Xenopus tropicalis: one gene and its partner. The protein of the gene in region 2 purifies or fractionates together with the protein of the main gene of each other region. This does not show direct contact. Links are inferred from orthologs where the notes say so. Each region holds a gene or a part of one and is shown on either strand. Other genes may lie near its edges.

Region 1 (8,881 bases), on a different chromosome or scaffold from region 2:
AGCCTTTCTGCAAGATACAGGCAGAAGCCATTATTGTGGTGAGAAACCCAGGAAGAGCCCTTTACATTCTATTATAAATCTTCCCTGACGAAGGTTCCAGTAGGGAACCGAAACGTAGGACTAAATAAACCTCACCGTTTGCATTTACCCATGAGTATTCTCTTCAATATGATCGTGGAAATCCTATGAGTGCCGACACCTCTCTATGCTATTCTATTATAAATCCATATAGGAAAAAAAAAGGACCTATTCATACTAGGTGTATGTAAATGTACATGATATTTTGGGTTTCTGTACCAGCCCAAGGCACCCACAGCCCTTTAGCAGGGAAGATCTGTGCCCCCCAAGATGCCCCAGTAGCCCCCCATCTTCATTTCTGCTGATTCCCAGCACATACTATGTGCTGCTGTCACTTACCTGAGTTTAGGGACCCACTCACAATATACAGTATATATACAATATAAATGTCACAATATAAGGCTGACTAGTAATTAATACAGATCATTGCTATATGGCAGCTCTGAAACCAGTGCAATTAGCAGCAGATTAATTGGCCCTGTAGCATCAGCTTATATGACAGGCCAACCTTATTTTCTGATTGATAATTTATGATGACCCCTAAAGCTTTTATTCTTAACGGTCTCTGATACCCCCACCCCATCCTGGTCAAGCAGGACCCTATGTATGATGCCGTTGCAATATAACCTTACCCTTATAGATACAGTATCTAATAATCAAGCCCACTACACTATGGGCTGTTTACAGCAAATACATTGCAGATACAAGGGGTCACACCAAGCCCCATAGTCACTGTAGATATGGGGGCTGCCCCCCCGGCCACCATTATGTTATATCTACAGTGAATTCTTTGCAGACAGCCCTCAGTCTTCAGATTATTTCCCCAATATGTAGCCTTCAATTCTTACTTTGATGGCATCTCTTCTCTTCTGCTCAGCCTGGGTGTGTGCCCGTCTGCGTCGGTCCTTGTAGTCATTTTTTATGGTCTCTTGGCGGTCATCACTGTCCTCGTCATCTGAGGTTAGGGAACAAGCATTGTCCATCATGTTGCAGGCTACAGAAACGGTGAGGCACATAGATGCTATTTAACACCATGATAAGCCAAACCAACCATCTGTCCTTTACCATATAAAGAGAGAGTGCTGCACAGTGCCAAATTAAACTAATAGTTATCAGCTAAGAAGTTATTGATTTCTGCCCAGAAATTGCTGCAATTGCTATTTCACAGTTTGCGTTCAAACATAATTTCCTTCTCATGAGTGGTATCGAAATTTGGAGCAGAGCAGATTGACAGGGAATTTACCCCCAGCCTAAAATATAATTCCTCCTTATTGGGGGTAGAACAGTCCTATTGGGTTTATTTAATGGTTAAATGATTCCCTTTTCTCTGTAATAATAAAACAGTACCTGTACTTGATCCCAATTAAGATATAATTACCCCTTATTGGGGGCAGAACAGCCCTATTGGGTTTATTTCATGGTTAAATGATTCCCTTTTCTCTGTAATAATAAAACAGTACCTGTACTTGATCCCAACTAAGATATAATTACCCCTTATTGGGGCAGAACAGCCCTATTGGGTTTATTTCATGGTTAAATGATTCCCTTTTCTCTGTAATAATAAAACAGTACCTGTACTTGATCCCGACTAAGATATAATTACCCCTTATTGGGGGCAGAACAGCCCTATTGGGTTTATTTCATGGTTAAATGATTCCCTTTTCTCTGTAATAATAAAACAGTACCTGTACTTGATCCCGACTAAGATATAATTACCCCTTATTGGGGCAGAACAGCCCTATTGGGTTTATTTCATGGTTAAATGATTCCCTTTTCTCTGTAATAATAAAACAGTACCTGTACTTGATCCCAACTAAGATATAATTTCCCCTTATTGGGGGCAGAACAGCCCTATTGGGTTTATTTCATGTTTAAATGATTCCCTTTTCTCTGTAATAATAAAACAGTACCTGTACTTGATCCCAACTAAGATATAATTACCCCTTATTGGGGCAGAACAGCCCTATTGGGTTTATTTAATGGTTAAATGATTCCCTTTTCTCTGTAATAATAAAACAGTACCTGTACTTGATCCCAACTAAGATATAATTACCCCTTATTGGGGGCAGAACAGCCCTATTGGGTTTATTTCATGGTTAAATGATTCCCTTTTCTCTGTAATAATAAAACAGTACCTGTACTTGATCCCAACTAAGATATAATTACCCCTTATTGGGGGCAGAACAGCCCTATTGGGTTTATTTCATGGTTAAATGATTCCCTTTTCTCTGTAATAATAAAACAGTACCTGTACTTGATCCCAACTAAGATATAATTTCCCCTTATTGGGGGCAGAACAGCCCTATTGGGTTTATTTCATGTTTAAATGATTTCTTAGTACACGTAAGGTATGGAGATCCAAATTACGGGAAGACCCCTTATCTGCAAAACCCCAGGTCCAGGGCATTGTTGGTAACATGGTCCATACCTGTACTACTTTTGGAAAATATTTTTCACAGTTTAGAATTTATATTTAATCTTAAAGCCTGAAATGTACTTGAATAAAAACATAAAATAGAGCAACCCTCAATGGGTGGAAGGTGAGGTTAATCATGTGCAAACAGTTTTAGGATTTACCTGTATTGGGCACTGAAGATGCACTTGTGGATCCAATGCTGTTTGCTCTGGACACTAAACTTCCCTTCTGCTCCATGACAGGAACTGCAAAAAGATAAAATCATATATACTAAATTAATATGAATGCACCCATGCCAAGTCTGTTGTGATCCAGTTCTTACAGTATCAACAGATTGGATTATTGCCCAAACGTCATGCATTTATTAGGCCGCTTTCTACTTCCAAATTAAACATTACCCCACCCGCGTGTACTAAAAAGCACTTACTTTGCCCAGGGGCAGTAACCCATGGTAACCAATAATGTTGTTTTAAAACAGGTCTGCCTCTCTTGGAATTGCTCTTGTTGTGCCGATAGATTTACTGCTTTCAGACAGAGGAGGGCGCTAACCCTCTATACCAAGCACTGGGATGACTGATTTAAAGACAGGAAGGTGTGTTTGTGGGTAACTAACCAGTTGCTAGGAGCAAATTTGCCCAGTGTTTATAAATGGGCCCCCCTGTTTCTTTTATTTATTTATTTTATTTCACTTTTGGTTCAGCAGCTCTCCAGTTTGGAGTTGCAGCAGCTATCCGGTTGCTCGGGTCCAAATTACCTTAGGGAGTGGTTTGAAAGATGGACAGGTATATGAATAGGAGAGGGGCCTAGAAAAATAAGTCATGAAAGTAACAATAATAATAAAACTGGAGCCTCACAGAGCAATAGTTTTCTGGCTGCCGGGGTCAGTGACCCCCAATTTGAAAGCTGTAAAAACTATAACAAATAAATAATGAAGACCAAATGAAAAGTTGCTTAGAATATTATTTAACATACTAAAAGTGAACATAAAGGTGAACTTCCCCTTTAAAGCCGTATTTCAAAACCATAGTCCAAAGCCACCACATTACGCTTTCCTGGGGTTTAAACAGTTTGATTTTGGAGATAATATACACAGTTAATATAATTTACCTGAGTTTTATAAATATAATGATGCAGATCAGGTAAAAGCAATGTCTCCCTGATATTTACAGTTACAGGTATACAGGTTATCCAGAATGCTTGAGACCAAGGGTATTCCAGATAAGAGGTCTTTCCATAATTTGGATCTTCATACCAATAAGGGGTAATTATATTTTAGTTGGGATCAAGTACAGGTACTGTTTTATTATTACAGAGAAAAGGGAATCATTTAACCATGAAATAAACCCAATAGGGCTGTTCTGCCCCAATAAGGGGTAATTATATCTTAGTTGGGATCAAGTACAGGTACTGTTTTATTATTACAGAGAAAAGGGAATCATTTAACCATTAAATAAACCCAATAGGGCTGTTCTGCCCCAATAAGGGGTAATTATATCTTAGTTGGGATCAAGTACAGGTACTGTTTTATTATTACAGAGAAAAGGGAATCATTTAACCATGAAATAAACCCAATAGGGCTGTTCTGCCCCAATAAGGGGTAATTATATCTTAGTTGGGATCAAGTACAGGTACTGTTTTATTATTACAGAGAAAAGGGAATCATTTAACCATGAAATAAACCCAATAGGGCTGTTCTGCCCCAATAAGGGGTAATTATATCTTAGTTGGGATCAAGTACAGGTACTGTTTTATTATTACAGAGAAAAGGGAATCATTTAACCATGAAATAAACCCAATAGGGCTGTTCTGCCCCCAATAAGGGGTAATTATATCTTAGTTGGGATCAAGTACAGGTACTGTTTTATTATTACAGAGAAAAGGGAATCATTTAACCATGAAATAAACCCAATAGGGCTGTTCTGCCCCCAATAAGGGGTAATTATATCTTAGTTATATCTAAGTTATATCTTAGAGTCTATGGGAGACAGGCTTTCCATAATTTGGAGCGTTCTGGATATCGGGTTTCCAGATAATGGATCCAAGCCTTGATACAACTGTAAGCATTTATTATAAAATAAAAACCAATAAAAGACAGTTATTAAGTATATGAAAGACTTACCCGGCCTCACATTATCACATAGGGAACATCAGGCTAGAAGGAAGAGTGAGAAGGATGAATACAAAGGGTTACAAACAGGCTATTAGAGCATAAGACATGTTTGCTGTAAGCATTAAGGGATCACACTATAAATGCCTGGGAATTGAATTCTATGGATATTAGACCAGGGGGTATAAAGTAATATTTGGGAGGGGGAGTTCCCCTTTAACGTATTAACCCTCTCCTATCCGTACAATGCTGATGGGATTACATTACAAGCTGCTTTCCCCTGTCAGTTTGGCAGCACTTCCCCAAATGGAAGGTTCCCGCACACGGACCTATTTACATTGAGCTCCGCTTCCAGTCGGTAACTCACACAACAGAACCGACAGCCGTCCCGCCCGGAGCTGCTGATATCGTCGTCCCGGAGCGCTGATTAAACGCCCCACAACCCCTTCCTATAGCGCAGCCCCTCAGCCCCTCAGCTGCTTCCCGACAGCTCCCCCAGAATTTCCTCCAAATCTCGCGAGAGTGTGACGTGCGACTACCGAGGATCCCAGGGCTGCCAAAATAGTACATTTCCAGTCATATATTGTTCGTTTTCATACTAGGTGGGTTGTTAAAGTCCAACGAATAAAATACTAATAATATCCTGAAACTACACGCACAGCAAAACTTTCTCAGCCCTACCTGCCCCGCCTCTTCCCTTTTCCTGGTAAATAACCCCAGTGCATACTGGGTAATGTAGTTCTTGTTTTAGCTGTCGCCTGATACTACGCTTTGAATAAACTACATTACCCAGCATGCAATGGAATAGGGTGGTTCGGGAGTCAATGAGCAGCCCCTCAGACTGAGCTCTATCTCCTCTTTAGGATGCTACTGAGTTGTTTGGGGGGCTCTAAGGTGCTGAGTGTAGAGGGAGGTAGATGGGCCATGGGAGGCAGGTATCCCTGTATATAGAGGAGATTTGGTGGGAGGTTGTCATATCCCAGCTCCCTGCCTGGCTGATGCAGTTTGGTTGGCTGAGGAGGGGTTAACTTACCCTTTAAATACCTAAAATCCTGCCTGTGTGTGGGGGGCTGCCTGAACTATAACTTCCAGAATCCCATAAATGGAGGGGAGTAGGTTGCACCTCTGGCATTGAACTTCATTACATTCAGGGATGTTTTACCTACGTCTCTTTGCTCATTGAATTACAACTCCCGGCACCCCCAGAAGCTTTGAGCTGATAGGCAGTTTGTTACCCTGTTGGTAGAATGAGATGGCTAGAAAGGGGGGACCCTTTACAGGCCCCGGGGGCCCCGCAGAGCAATAGTCAGGGCACAACATTGGGTCCTCCTATACTTATTTACAGGGAGTGCACTATAATTGTGTGTATAGCAAGGCAAGATGGGGTCAGGGGTGGGACTGTGTGTATAGCAAGGCAAGATGGGGTCAGGGGTGGGACATTGTGTATAGCAAGGCAAGATGGTGTCAGGGGTGGGACTGTGTGTATAGCAAGGCAAGATGGGGTCAGGGGTGGAACATTGTGTGTATAGCAAGGCAAGATGGGGTCAGGGGTGGGACTGTGTGTATAGCAAGGCAAGATGGGGTCAGGGGTGGAACATTGTGTGTATAGCAAGGCAAGATGGGGTCAGGGGTGGGACTGTGTGTATAGCAAGGCAAGATGGTGTCAGGGGTGGGACATTGTGTGTATAGCAAGGCAAGATGGTGTCAGGGGTGGGACATTGTGTGTATAGCAAGGCAAGATGGTGTCAGGGGTGGGACTGTGTATAGCAAGGCAAGATGGTGTCAGGGGTGGGACATTGTGTGTATAGCAAGGCAAGATGGGGTCAGGGGTGGGACATTGTGTGTTATAGCAAGGCAAGATGGGGGTCAGGGGTGGGACATTGTGTGTATAGCAAGGCAAGATGGTGTCAGGGGTGGGACTGTGTGTATAGCAAGGCAAGATGGGGTCAGGGGTGGGACATTGTGTGTATAGCAAGGCAAGATGGTGTCAGGGGTGGGACATTGTGTATAGCAAGGCAAGATGGGGTCAGGGGTGGGACATTGTGTGTATAGCAAGGCAAGATGGTGTCAGGGGTGGGACATTGTGTGTATAGCAAGGCAAGATGGTGTCAGGGGTGGGACATTGTGTATAGCAAGGCAAGATGGTGTCAGGGGTGGGACTGTGTATAGCAAGGCAAGATGGTGTCAGGGGTGGGACATTGTGTGTATAGCAAGGCAAGATGGGGTCAGGGGTGGGACATTGTGTGTATAGCAAGGCAAGATGGTGTCAGGGTGGGACATTGTGTGTATAGCAAGGCAAGATGGTGTCAGGGGTGGGACATTGTGTGTATAGCAAGGCAAGATGGGGTCAGGGGTGGGACATTGTGTGTATAGCAAGGCAAGATGGTGTCAGGGGTGGGACATTGTGTGTATAGCAAGGCAAGATGGTGTCAGGGGTGGGACATTGTGTGTATAGCAAGGCAAGATGGGGTCAGGGGTGGGACATTGTGTGTATAGCAAGGCAAGATGGTGTCAGGGGTGGGACATTGTGTGTATAGCAAGGCAAGATGGTGTCAGGGGTGGGACTGTGTATAGCAAGGCAAGATGGTGTCAGGGGTGGGACATTGTGTGTATAGCAAGGCAAGATGGGGTCAGGGGTGGGACATTGTGTGTATAGCAAGGCAAGATGGGGTCAGGGGTGGGACATTGTGTGTATAGCAAGGCAAGATGGGGTCAGGGGTGGGACATTGTGTGTATAGCAAGGCAAGATGGTGTCAGGGGTGGGACTGTGTGTATAGCAAGGCAAGATGGGGTCAGGGGTGGGACATTGTGTGTATAGCAAGGCAAGATGGTGTCAGGGGTGGGACATTGTGTGTATAGCAAGGCAATATGGTGTCAGGGGTGGGACATTGTGTGTATAGCAAGGCAAGATGGGGTCAGGGGTGGGACATTGTGTGTATAGCAAGGCAAGATGGTGTCAGGGGTGGGACATTGTGTGTATAGCAAGGCAAGATGGGGTCAGGGGTGGGACTGTGTGTATAGCAAGGCAAGATGGTGTCAGGGGTGGGACTGTGTGTATAGCAAGGCAAGATGGTGTCAGGGGTGGGACATTGTGTATAGCAAGGCAAGATGGTGTCAGGGGTGGGACATTGTGTATAGCAAGGCAAGATGGTGTCAATTTAGGCTTATAATGTAAAGCTGTGGCAGGTTCCCAAGTACAAACCCACTAAGGTACATGTTGCGGCTACTTTGTGGTGTCTGGGTGGGAAGTGTGGCTGGTTGCTAACGGCTGGTATGGCTAGCAGAGGTGGAGCAGATGGTGTTGATGTTGAAGGGGTTGTCTATTCTGAGACAATTTGCAATTGGTCTTTATTTTGCCTTATTTGCAGTTTATAAGATTATTATGCATGTTATAATTTGGTATAGAATGGCAGTGGATCAGTTTCATCCTACACAGAGAATTTCTAGTCATTTCTCCCATGATAGATGTACAGGGGATACAGCATTACCCTGTGTAGTAAGTGAACCGTATGGGTTTTATGAACAAACATAACGGCTGGGAGGCGGGTACTGATAACGAGTGTTTGTATAACGAAGTGGTTTTCCATGACGCCCGGCGCTAATGAACTCGCAGCTTCTGCCTGGGATAGGGCTGCTAATCTGCTGCTTTCCTCTGCTTCCCCATCAATGGGATCATACACGGGATCTTACCGGAAGTTTCTATTGATACCAAGGTGATTGTAGGGCTTCTTTATGAACACAAGTCAGTTGTGTAAACATTGAAGAAAATTGTGCGTCCGTCAGAAATATCCTGATTAAGCACTGGTGCATATAGATACCAACGGGAGATCCTCTGCACCCATTATCTGTATATATGGGAACAATGGGAAGGGAGCAAGATGGCAGCTCCCAGTAGGTATCAGAATAGCACTCAATAGTAAGAAATCCAAGTCCGGCTTGGGACTCCTCCAGTTACATGGGAGTAGGAGAAACAATAGGTTAGCTGAAAGCAGTTCTAATGTGTAGCGCCGGCTCCTTCTGAGAGCTCAGACTCAGGCACACTTTACTGCTGCGCCGCAAGTTGGACTGATATCCCCCCCCTCACCCCCAGCAGCCGATCAGCAGAACAATGGGAAGGGAGCAAGATGGCAGCTCCCAGTAGGTATCAGAATAGCACTCAATAGTAAGAAATCCAAGTCCGGCTTGGGACTCCTCCAGTTACATGGGAGTAGGAGAAACAATAGGTTAGCTGAAAGCAGTTCTAATGTGTAGCGCCGGCTCCTTCTGAGAGCTCAGACTCA
Region 2 (9,104 bases):
ATAGGCTTAGAACACATTTCCAATTCCAGTAGAGGTGGTGATAGATTTTTGGAATTACACCAACAAGAAACGTTTTGGATTTATAGGCTAAATACTCTTGACCTGCTAGGTCTTAATAAAGGTTTGAATTTAGCTGCTGTTAATTTTATAGTATGTATTAGCATTGTACTGTAGTGATTATGGGTTGCTATGAGGACCCCTTAGCAACCGCTAATTTTTAAATGATGCTGGGTACACTGATGCTCCTATCCCTTATGAAAGATGGTGAGAGTGTCTCTAAATCTGGATTGATATTTGTAAAGTACTACACTATGCTACTTTGGATGTGCTCTGTTTTTTCCTTTTCCTAATAGTAATATGGTGTATTGATTTGGAGAAACCAAAGATGTTGTTGTCCTGGGCAACTAATAAAACAGTACATACCTCCCAACATTTGAAAAATGAAAAGAGGGACAAAAAGACTTGCCACAAAGTGGGCGTGGCCAAAAAAAAAAATTTTTTTTTTGGACACGCCCACTTTGTGGCCACGCTCCAATTGCCACACCCCATTATTAAAATAGTGCCCACGATGGCCCAATAGGCAGCACCCCATAGAAAGTACCCTCCATACACAATACCCCCATAGAAAGTTCCCCCATACACAGTGCCCCCATACACAGTAGCCCTCCTTACACAGTAGCCCTCCTTACACAGTGCCCCCATACACAGTGCCCCCCATACACAGTGCCCCCATACACAGTAGCCCTCCTTACACAGTGCCCCCCCATACAGTGCCCCCAATACACAGTAGCCCTCCTTACACAGTGTCCCCCCATACAGTTCCCCCCATACACAGTGCCCCCCCATACACAGTGCCCCCATACACAGTAGCCCTCCTTACACAGTGCCCCCCCATACACAGTAGCCCTTCATACACAGTTCCCCCCATACACAGTGCCCCCCCCATACACAGTAGCCCTCCTTACACAGTGTCCCCCCATACACAGTGCCCCCCATACACAGTAGCCCTCCTTACACAGAGCCCCCAATACACAGAGCCCCCCCATACACAGTGCCCCCCCAACTGCCCCCATAGTGATTACCTCATACATAGCAGCCCCCATAGACTTCTTGGGCTCCTGCTCCTTACTCGGCTCCTCGTAAGGCGGCGACAGGTCCTTTTATAAGGTTGCGCCCGTGCGCAACCTTATAAAAGGACCTGTCGCCGCCGTACGAGGAGCCGAATAAGGAGCGGGAGCCCAAGAAGAAGGAGCCGGAGCGATCCGCTGGCCTGGATAGTTTAATGAATGTTCTGCATTTCCGTAATGCGGGACATTCATTGAACAATCCGGGACAGCGGGACGCGCTGTAAAAACCGGGACTGTCCCGCGAAAAGCGGGACAGTTGGGGGGTATGACAGTAGCTTGTACCTGATCCCAACTAAGATATATGTAATACATTGGAAGCAAAATAATCATATTTGGTTGAATTAATGTTTCAATTCTTTGTAGACTTAACAGGGATCCCCAACTTTTTTTTACCCATGAGCCACATTCAAAAATAAAAAAAAGTTGGAGAGCAACACAAGCATGCAAAAAGTTACTGGGGGTGTCCAATATGTGCCGTGATTGGCTATTTGGTAGCCCCTATGTGGACTGTCAGCCTACAGGAGGCCCTGTTTGACAGTACACCTGGTTTTTATGCAACCAAAACTTGCCTCCAAGCCAATTATTTAAAAATAAGCACCTGCTTTGAGGCTACTGGGAGAAACATCCAATGGCTTGGTGAGCAAGATGCTGCTCATGAGCCACTGGTTGGGATCACTGACTTAAGGTATGGAGCCAAATTAAGGAAAGACCCCTTATCCAGAAAACCCCAGGTCCCAAGCATTATGGGTGCACCCTAACATTTTGATGCCCCTCGGTAAAGAGGGTTTTCCTTGCTTTTTAATTCCTTGCTATAGTATACATTCCTATGTTATATTGGAGCCAGGTATGGACTGAGATCTGATTGCTTGCCTTGGCAGGTGTTTTACTGGCCAGGCTGGTAAAATGCCGACCAGCTGGCAACCCTAGGGACTGCTGTAAGATACCACAGACAGTAATAAAATATTGGGCTGGTGGGGCCTGTTCGGACCTCTTTATGCTTGAAATGCCAGGGCCTATTTGGAATTTCAATCTATACCTGGCTCAGTAAATATAATCCCTGGTGAATAACACCCCAGACGGTGCATATGTTAGGGCTTTCATTGTCATTCAGGCATATTTTTTTCATAATTGCCTTAATTATTACAGCTAAGCTAAATAAATTAATATTTGTTCAATAGTTTATTTTATAGTCCTTCTCCTGCTATCTGCATTGGTTTCCTGGCTCAATGAAGCACCCCCTCCCCCTTTGCTGGGCAGGCTAAAATTTACACTGGGAGGGAGGACAGGGCAGAGCAGCATGGGCAGGAACAGAGCAAACTTCTCAGGCAGCAAAGTGCTGTAGAACAACCCAGGGGCCGATTATTACCCCTGTACCCCCCCCCCCTCATTGGTGCTTTAAACCTGCAGCCCCCCTCACATACAATTATTAGTTAAGAGACTTGCTTAGCATAAGTGCAACAGGCTGGGTAGGGAATATTTACAAAGAGATATGTTTAGAGAGGATTTGCTGTGATTCCACTACAACATTATGAGAAGGCAAGCGTTACATGGAAACATAGAGAGGGGTTGGCAATGTATGGCATGACATCCAGCTAAAGTAAGGAGAGTGCAAAGTTCAAAGCACAATCTGTGCTGCCACATCCCATGGAACCAACCAGTGATGAATCACAAGGCGGCAAGGAGGATTCTGGGATAACACCTTACATTGGAATTACATAACCTGAGAGAAGGTTTCCGAGGTGCTGCAGCCAAAACCAAGTACACAACCTGCTACCCCGTACTTACATTGCAGCTGTCATTGGTCACTTCTGGGAGATGGGTGGGACTCTCGGGCTGTCAGCCTGCAGGTTTAGAACAGTGTCTAATGGGGCGTGGTTATGCTGATCTATGGCAGGCGATTGGAGGTTTTCTGGTTGGATGGGCCTTTCACCTATGGTGGGTGGGCGTGTCTGTGACTGCTCTTCTGTCACTTGCGCTTCGGTGTACGTTGGGATTATCCCACACCATGGCAGGCTGCGGCACGAATCAACTCCGGAGTTCTAATGCAGACTCTGATTCGGACTCAGACTGTGAGGGACTGGGGCCCCGGCATCAGATCATTCATAGCGGGCACTTCATGGTATCGTCCCCACATGGAGATGACAAGCACAGGAGAAGTGAACTGCAGCGGCCAGGGAACCTGCCAGCCGGGACCATTGATCCCACACTGACTCGGCTGTTCGAGTGTATGAGTCTGGCATACAGGTAGGTACAAGGGCTACACACATTTGGCTTGTATGGCTACATACCAGCTGCAATGCCATTAAACATAGGGGTATTAGGGGCTAAACTACCCTAAATAAAATGTTATGCTGAGCAAGTCTCTAACTGATAATTGTTTGTAGGGGAGCTTGCAAGTTTATAGCGTCAACGTGTTCTGTGCGAAGTGCATGGCGGGAAGAAGGGGGTGACAAGGGGGCAAAAGTCAATAATCCTGCCCCTGTGTAGTTGTACCCCACCTTGCTGGCTGAGGAGTTAAATATTCCTCCGCTCCTGCTTCTATTCTGCTGCTCTCCTTCCCAGTGTAACTGTAGCAGCCCAGCAGGGGAGGGGCTAGTGATAGCTGGATTCTCTGAGCCAGGAAACCGTGTGTGTAGCTTTATCATGCACATACCACATATTCGTAAACTCTTTGCTTTTGTTTGCATCCTTATATGATAGCTGATCGGAAAAGTGCAACCTTTATGCATGAATCTTGGATTTATATAAATAGCTAAGTAATACAGAGCTCATAAACTAGGAGAACAGTGGAGCTGCAGAGGGATACATTTGTCAGGGCAGAGACAGTGGATCTTTTTTGGAGCTGCATGGGTTAATTTTGTTTGGGGTGATAGTAAATAGGAGTTTGGGGTGCCAGAAATCTGAACCCTACTGGGACGTGTTGAACTGGGGGGGATTATTGTTGGGGTCTAGTAAAGATTTGGAATTAAAAAGAACAAAGCTGGTTTGATTGTAAGGTACAAAAAGATAACTCACCTTCAAGGGATCAGTGGGCTTCCAGCTAAGTATCAGCAAGGAATGGTTCCTTTGCTGCTACTCCAGCTGTTCTTGTACTACAGTTCCCATTGTCCAATGAGTGCAGAAGGCTTTATATCAATAAGTAATTGTAAAATTAATATTTTTTATTCCTAGTGGTCAGTTATTTCCAGGCTGTGCCCCCATGGTGCAGAAACTAAGGTGCACAAGTGGGCTTCCCATAGTCTTTACCTAGCAATTATGTGCGCCCAGTGGAATTATGTACTCTGCTTCTGGCGCCAGATCAAAAATCCAATGTGAGGAGCAGAGCACAGCTTTAGAAGGCACAGGCGCAACTTAGGAAGAGGCAGGCGACGCAGGTCACACACAATGGTGCAATATGCTTTTATTCAAGGGAGCAAGTGCTAGAGCACAAAGGGTCCCATGAGTTTCTGGGGCAATACTTAGTCATGGAATGTTGGTTTCATTGTGTCATGAAATTCTGGGGCCAATTTGCTGAAGTCACTAGTAAGGTTCATTTATCAATACTTGGCAGATTTGCCCATGGGCAGTAGCCCATAGCAACCAGTGATTGGCCTTTTTCAGCCAGCTGCAGGAAGAACAATGTATGCAAAAATTTGATTGGCTGCTGTGAGTTACTGTCCACAGGCTAATTTGCCCAGCGTTGATAAATGAGCCTCACTGTGTCATCATATGCTAAGCCAACTGTGCCATGAAGTACTGGGGACAAAGTCTCAAAAAGTGCTTTAGCCCATGTATCAAAAATTCTGGGGCCACACCAATTGCTATGGCTACACCATAATGAAATACTTCAGGCACTCCCATGACTTGCTTGGGCCACTATTATTAAAATGCTGGGCCATATTCTCCAGTTTTTCAATAAAAATGTTTTTGTTTTTTTAAGTTGGTGTAATAATGGATGTGTAGATGTAGATGAGCGTCATACCCCTTTAATAAATTAGGACATTTAATAAGGATATATTTTACAGTTTAGTCAAGGCCCATGTGATTTGCAAACTTATATGTGTCTATGGCATTTATGGGGATTATCGCTGTGTTTTTTAACAGGAACTGAGTTAGGAGAATTAATTAAATCTCACTCATAATTTGAGTGATAAACCATAAAATAACTCCTTTTCATGATACTGAATCTGGCCCAACATCTATTGAGCAATATCATGCAGACATCTTTTTAGTGGAAAGGTCCTCATACACGGGCAAATAAGCTGCCAAATTGGTCTGAAGAACCCAAATCGGCAGCTTAAATCTGCCCATGTATGGCCACCTTTCCACTATAAAGATGATTGCATGAAAATGCTCAATAAATTAAGGGCCAGATTCAGTTTTATTTGCAACCGTTATTTTAAAGTTTATCATGTGAAAAATTGAGTGATATTTAATTTAAAATTTTCTCCTAACTCAGTTCTATTTTTTTCCAAATAGACTTTAATAGAATTTTCATGAGATAAACCATGATAACGTTTTTCTCATTGAATTGCATTGGGCTCTATGGAAAAATCTGAAATTGAGTTTGGAGAAGGGTTTTTGTCATGACACTGAATCTGGCCCATTATTTGGGAAGTGGTTGGTGGCATCTGTAATTCTGGCCTTTCTGCCATTTTGTTTTACATCAGCTGCTAGCTCTGCACATCACCTGCTGCATTGCCAAAAACCATGTAATTAACGCTTTCTTTATAATATGGCTAGTTCTATGAATGCTGCACTAAGCATGTATGAAATGATGTATAAAAGCTCAAGGGCTAATGTTAGTTATAGCGCCAAAAAGAGTTATGCCTCTAGGTAAATTGGTAATCAAAAGACCAGAGGGAAGTTGTGGCAGTGTGAAAGCTAATGGAAAAGCTACTTTTATGGGACAGCTAATATAGCCACTCTCTTTTATGTTGGGACTAATGGAATAATAATGTGTGGCGCTGGATCAGTTAATGGACTAGTGATCAGCACATCTGTGGCATTAAACACTGGGCTGTTCTCTGTCTGTGTGTGGTTAAACACGGCCTCATGAACAAGCGCAGACTGCTGTTTCACAGTACATAAGTCTAGAAAACTAGATAACTAGAAAATGCCAACTGACTAGAAGAACGATTCTTAACTTTTCTAGGGTGGGTTTCCATGCTGATTAAATTGGTTTCCATGATCCCATTTAATAATGTGAAGTTTCTTCCTGAATTATATTTATATCCTGTCATTTATATAGTGACAATATATTCTGCAGCACTATACAGAGATTACTAATGATTCACATTAGTGCAATTTATGATCTAAGATCCCTATCACATTCAGCAAACACTATGGTCAATTTAATCAGTAGCCAGTAAATCTGCCTGTATGTTTTTGGGAGTGTACTGGAGTACAGTGGAAAAACCCATTTAGTTGTGGGGAGAACATACAGAGTCTTTGCAGATAGTGTCCAGGCCCATATCAAACTCTGTTCCCCAAGGCTGCAAGGCAGATTTGCTACCCACTGAGCCACAACAGAAAATAGTAATGAAATAAGGTGAATAATTTGTTTTTACCAATTTGGTTAATGAAGCCAACTTAGTTTGCATCTCTTAAAGAAAGGTTATATTTGATGCCACTACAAATATTTTGTAGGTGAGTTAATGTTTCACTCAGCAAAAGTTAAAATAAATACAAATTGATATTAATAAAGCAGATAGGTACAAAACACAAGTAAGGAAGCAATGTGGGTAGGGTTGGGATGTGGTTGGTTGGCAGTGTAAGCCTGAGGGTATGTACTTGCTAGAGGTGGCCCACCCAACCTGTCACATCAGGGTGGCAGAACAAAATGATTTGCAGTATGTACAGTATATAGGCGCACTATTGCAGTACCATACATCTTAACTTTTTCTTCAGAAAACCTAGATTAGGTCTGCAAGTGAGCAATGTTTTCTTAAGAACCTATGCCTGAAATTATGCTTGTAATAAGCAGGTAAACCTGAGAGTGATCACTGTTTCTGGTTGACAGCTGCCTTCATAAATCATGTCTTAAACAGATAGGGTGGAAATGTGCTAAAATTTGCTTTTATTCTATGGGTACAGAATTTTAAATAAGACATAAATCTCCCACACTCCTTTTGAAACCTCCTGCAGCGGGATGGGAAACTGTGGAATTTTTGTGGGAATCAGAACCTTCAACTGGTGATATCTGTACTGCACTACTTTGCTGTTAATCCTTCCTAATTCTCCCTGGCTACCATTCTATTGTTCCTTTCTAGCCCAATCGGAATAGTAAGAGTTGTTGCAGAAATTGAGAAGGAAATTGGCAGGATTATTGAACTGAAACACTTCCTTGACTGACCATACATGTCCAGATGGCCAGGCAGTATGGTCAAAATTGTGCAATGTGCCCAACCAATTCTGTGTATATATAAAAGTCAGCAGTGTATTAAGCATTATCAGTTTATCCTGTAAAAGGTTTTTGTCACCTTGACAAAGCTGAAAAAGTTGGGATTTGCTCTGGAGGTGTTTTATAGGGATATTTAACTTTTAGCTTGATGTAGACATCAGCATTTTAAGTTTAGAAGATCAGCTTTAAAAGGGAGATAAGCAACAAAATATAAGCATAACAGTAAAACTATTGATTGGTTGCAGGCTGGAAATAGGCTTAATAGGAAGGCTAATATTAAAAAAAAAACGTATAAAATAAATAATAAAGGTCAATCGAAATTGTTTTTAACAGGTCCATCTATAACTACAAGTTAATACAAAGGTGAACACTCCCTTTAAAGGGCATTGGGGTAAAGCACAAGAAAAACAGGCACTTTCACCTGTAAACAACACAGCTGGTTCATTATGACTTAATATAGAAATGTATATACCCTGTTGTTAGGCAATATACAGTAACATGATTTGAGTTTGAACATCTTTAGCATAGGTGTAGGTAAACTTAGTATACATTATAAATACACACACACACACACACACACACACACACACACACACACATATATACATTAAGGGCACAATTATGATTGTTCAAGCCTTTTGGAGTGCTATTCTGATACCTACTGGGAGCTGCTTTTTTTACTCCCTTCCCATTGTTCTGCTGATCGGCTGCTGGGGGGGGGGGGATATCACTCCAACTTGCAGCTCAGCAGTAAAGTGACTGAAGTTTATCAGAGCAGAGGTCACATGGTTGTGGCACCCTGGGAAATGAAGAATATGGCTAGCCCCATGTGAAATTTCAAAATTAAAAATAAAAAAATCTGTTGTGTTTTTGAAAAATGGATTTCAATGCAGGATTCTGTTGGAGAAGCTCTATTAACTGATGTGTTTTGGAAAAAAACATGTTTCCCCATGACAGTATTCCTTTAAGGAACTCATGCAAGGTTACCCCCAAGTGGGCATTCTTAAATAATAAAAAGTTCAGCACCTAAAAGCTGCTATAAGGCTTGACCAATCATAAATAAGCCTGTATATGTACAAAAAGCTATACATTAAGACAGGTGTCTTTTAAAGACGGTCATGGCATTACATTTTCTGTTACCTGTGGCCCTAATTTAACATGTGTGCCTTCAACCAGTGACATTTTAGTGTACTAACATGCTGAGTCCTTCATTGCATACACTCCACATAACAGCTCTGTAAGTGATAGGCCCTTCATTTTCCTGCTTATCTGTTTCTGTCATCTATCCTTTATGTGACCCATAAATGAGTGCTTCAAGAGGAGAGTGTAAAGTCTATAACAGTCTATAAAATGCACATTGTCAACAGGGGTCAGAACTGGGTGGCATCAATTAGGGTCACTTATGGTACCAGTGGGCCCATAATAAAGATCTAATTGGTAGCACCCAGTGCCCAGGAAACTTGTGATAGAACTACCAGAATGCAGGTGAACCTGAATAAAGTAAGGCAGACACTAAAGAAATCATCTGTGACCAACAGTCATGGGAGCAGATAAACCATAATCCCACCGCAAGAGAAAATGGAAAAACAAAAAAT

The links.
Region 1: the proteins of mlxipl (region 2) and mlx purify together in Homo sapiens (affinity purification with western blotting; 3 studies listed by BioGRID and IntAct, counting the BioPlex papers as one, with this or other methods). This does not show direct contact. The link is inferred for Xenopus tropicalis from reciprocal best matches to the Homo sapiens genes MLXIPL and MLX.

Annotation. Positions count from the first base shown.
Region 1 is NC_030686.2:6,142,037-6,150,917, forward strand, and holds the start of mlx (max-like protein X), read right to left. Parts: upstream 5,245-8,881; 5' UTR 4,969-5,244; exon of another isoform or gene 4,931-4,968; intron 4,647-4,930; 5' UTR 4,614-4,646; intron 2,740-4,613; 5' UTR 2,732-2,739; coding exon 2,656-2,731; intron 1,073-2,655; coding exon 927-1,072; intron 8-926; coding exon 1-7. UniProt on the Homo sapiens protein: Transcription regulator. Forms a sequence-specific DNA-binding protein complex with MAD1, MAD4, MNT, WBSCR14 and MLXIP which recognizes the core sequence 5'-CACGTG-3'. The TCFL4-MAD1, TCFL4-MAD4, TCFL4-WBSCR14 complexes are transcriptional repressors.
Region 2 is NC_030678.2:41,635,065-41,644,168, forward strand, and holds the start of mlxipl (carbohydrate-responsive element-binding protein), read left to right. Parts: upstream 1-3,031; 5' UTR 3,032-3,132; coding exon 3,133-3,371; intron 3,372-9,104. UniProt on the Homo sapiens protein: Binds DNA as a heterodimer with MLX/TCFL4 and activates transcription. Binds to the canonical E box sequence 5'-CACGTG-3'. Plays a role in transcriptional activation of glycolytic target genes. Involved in glucose-responsive gene regulation.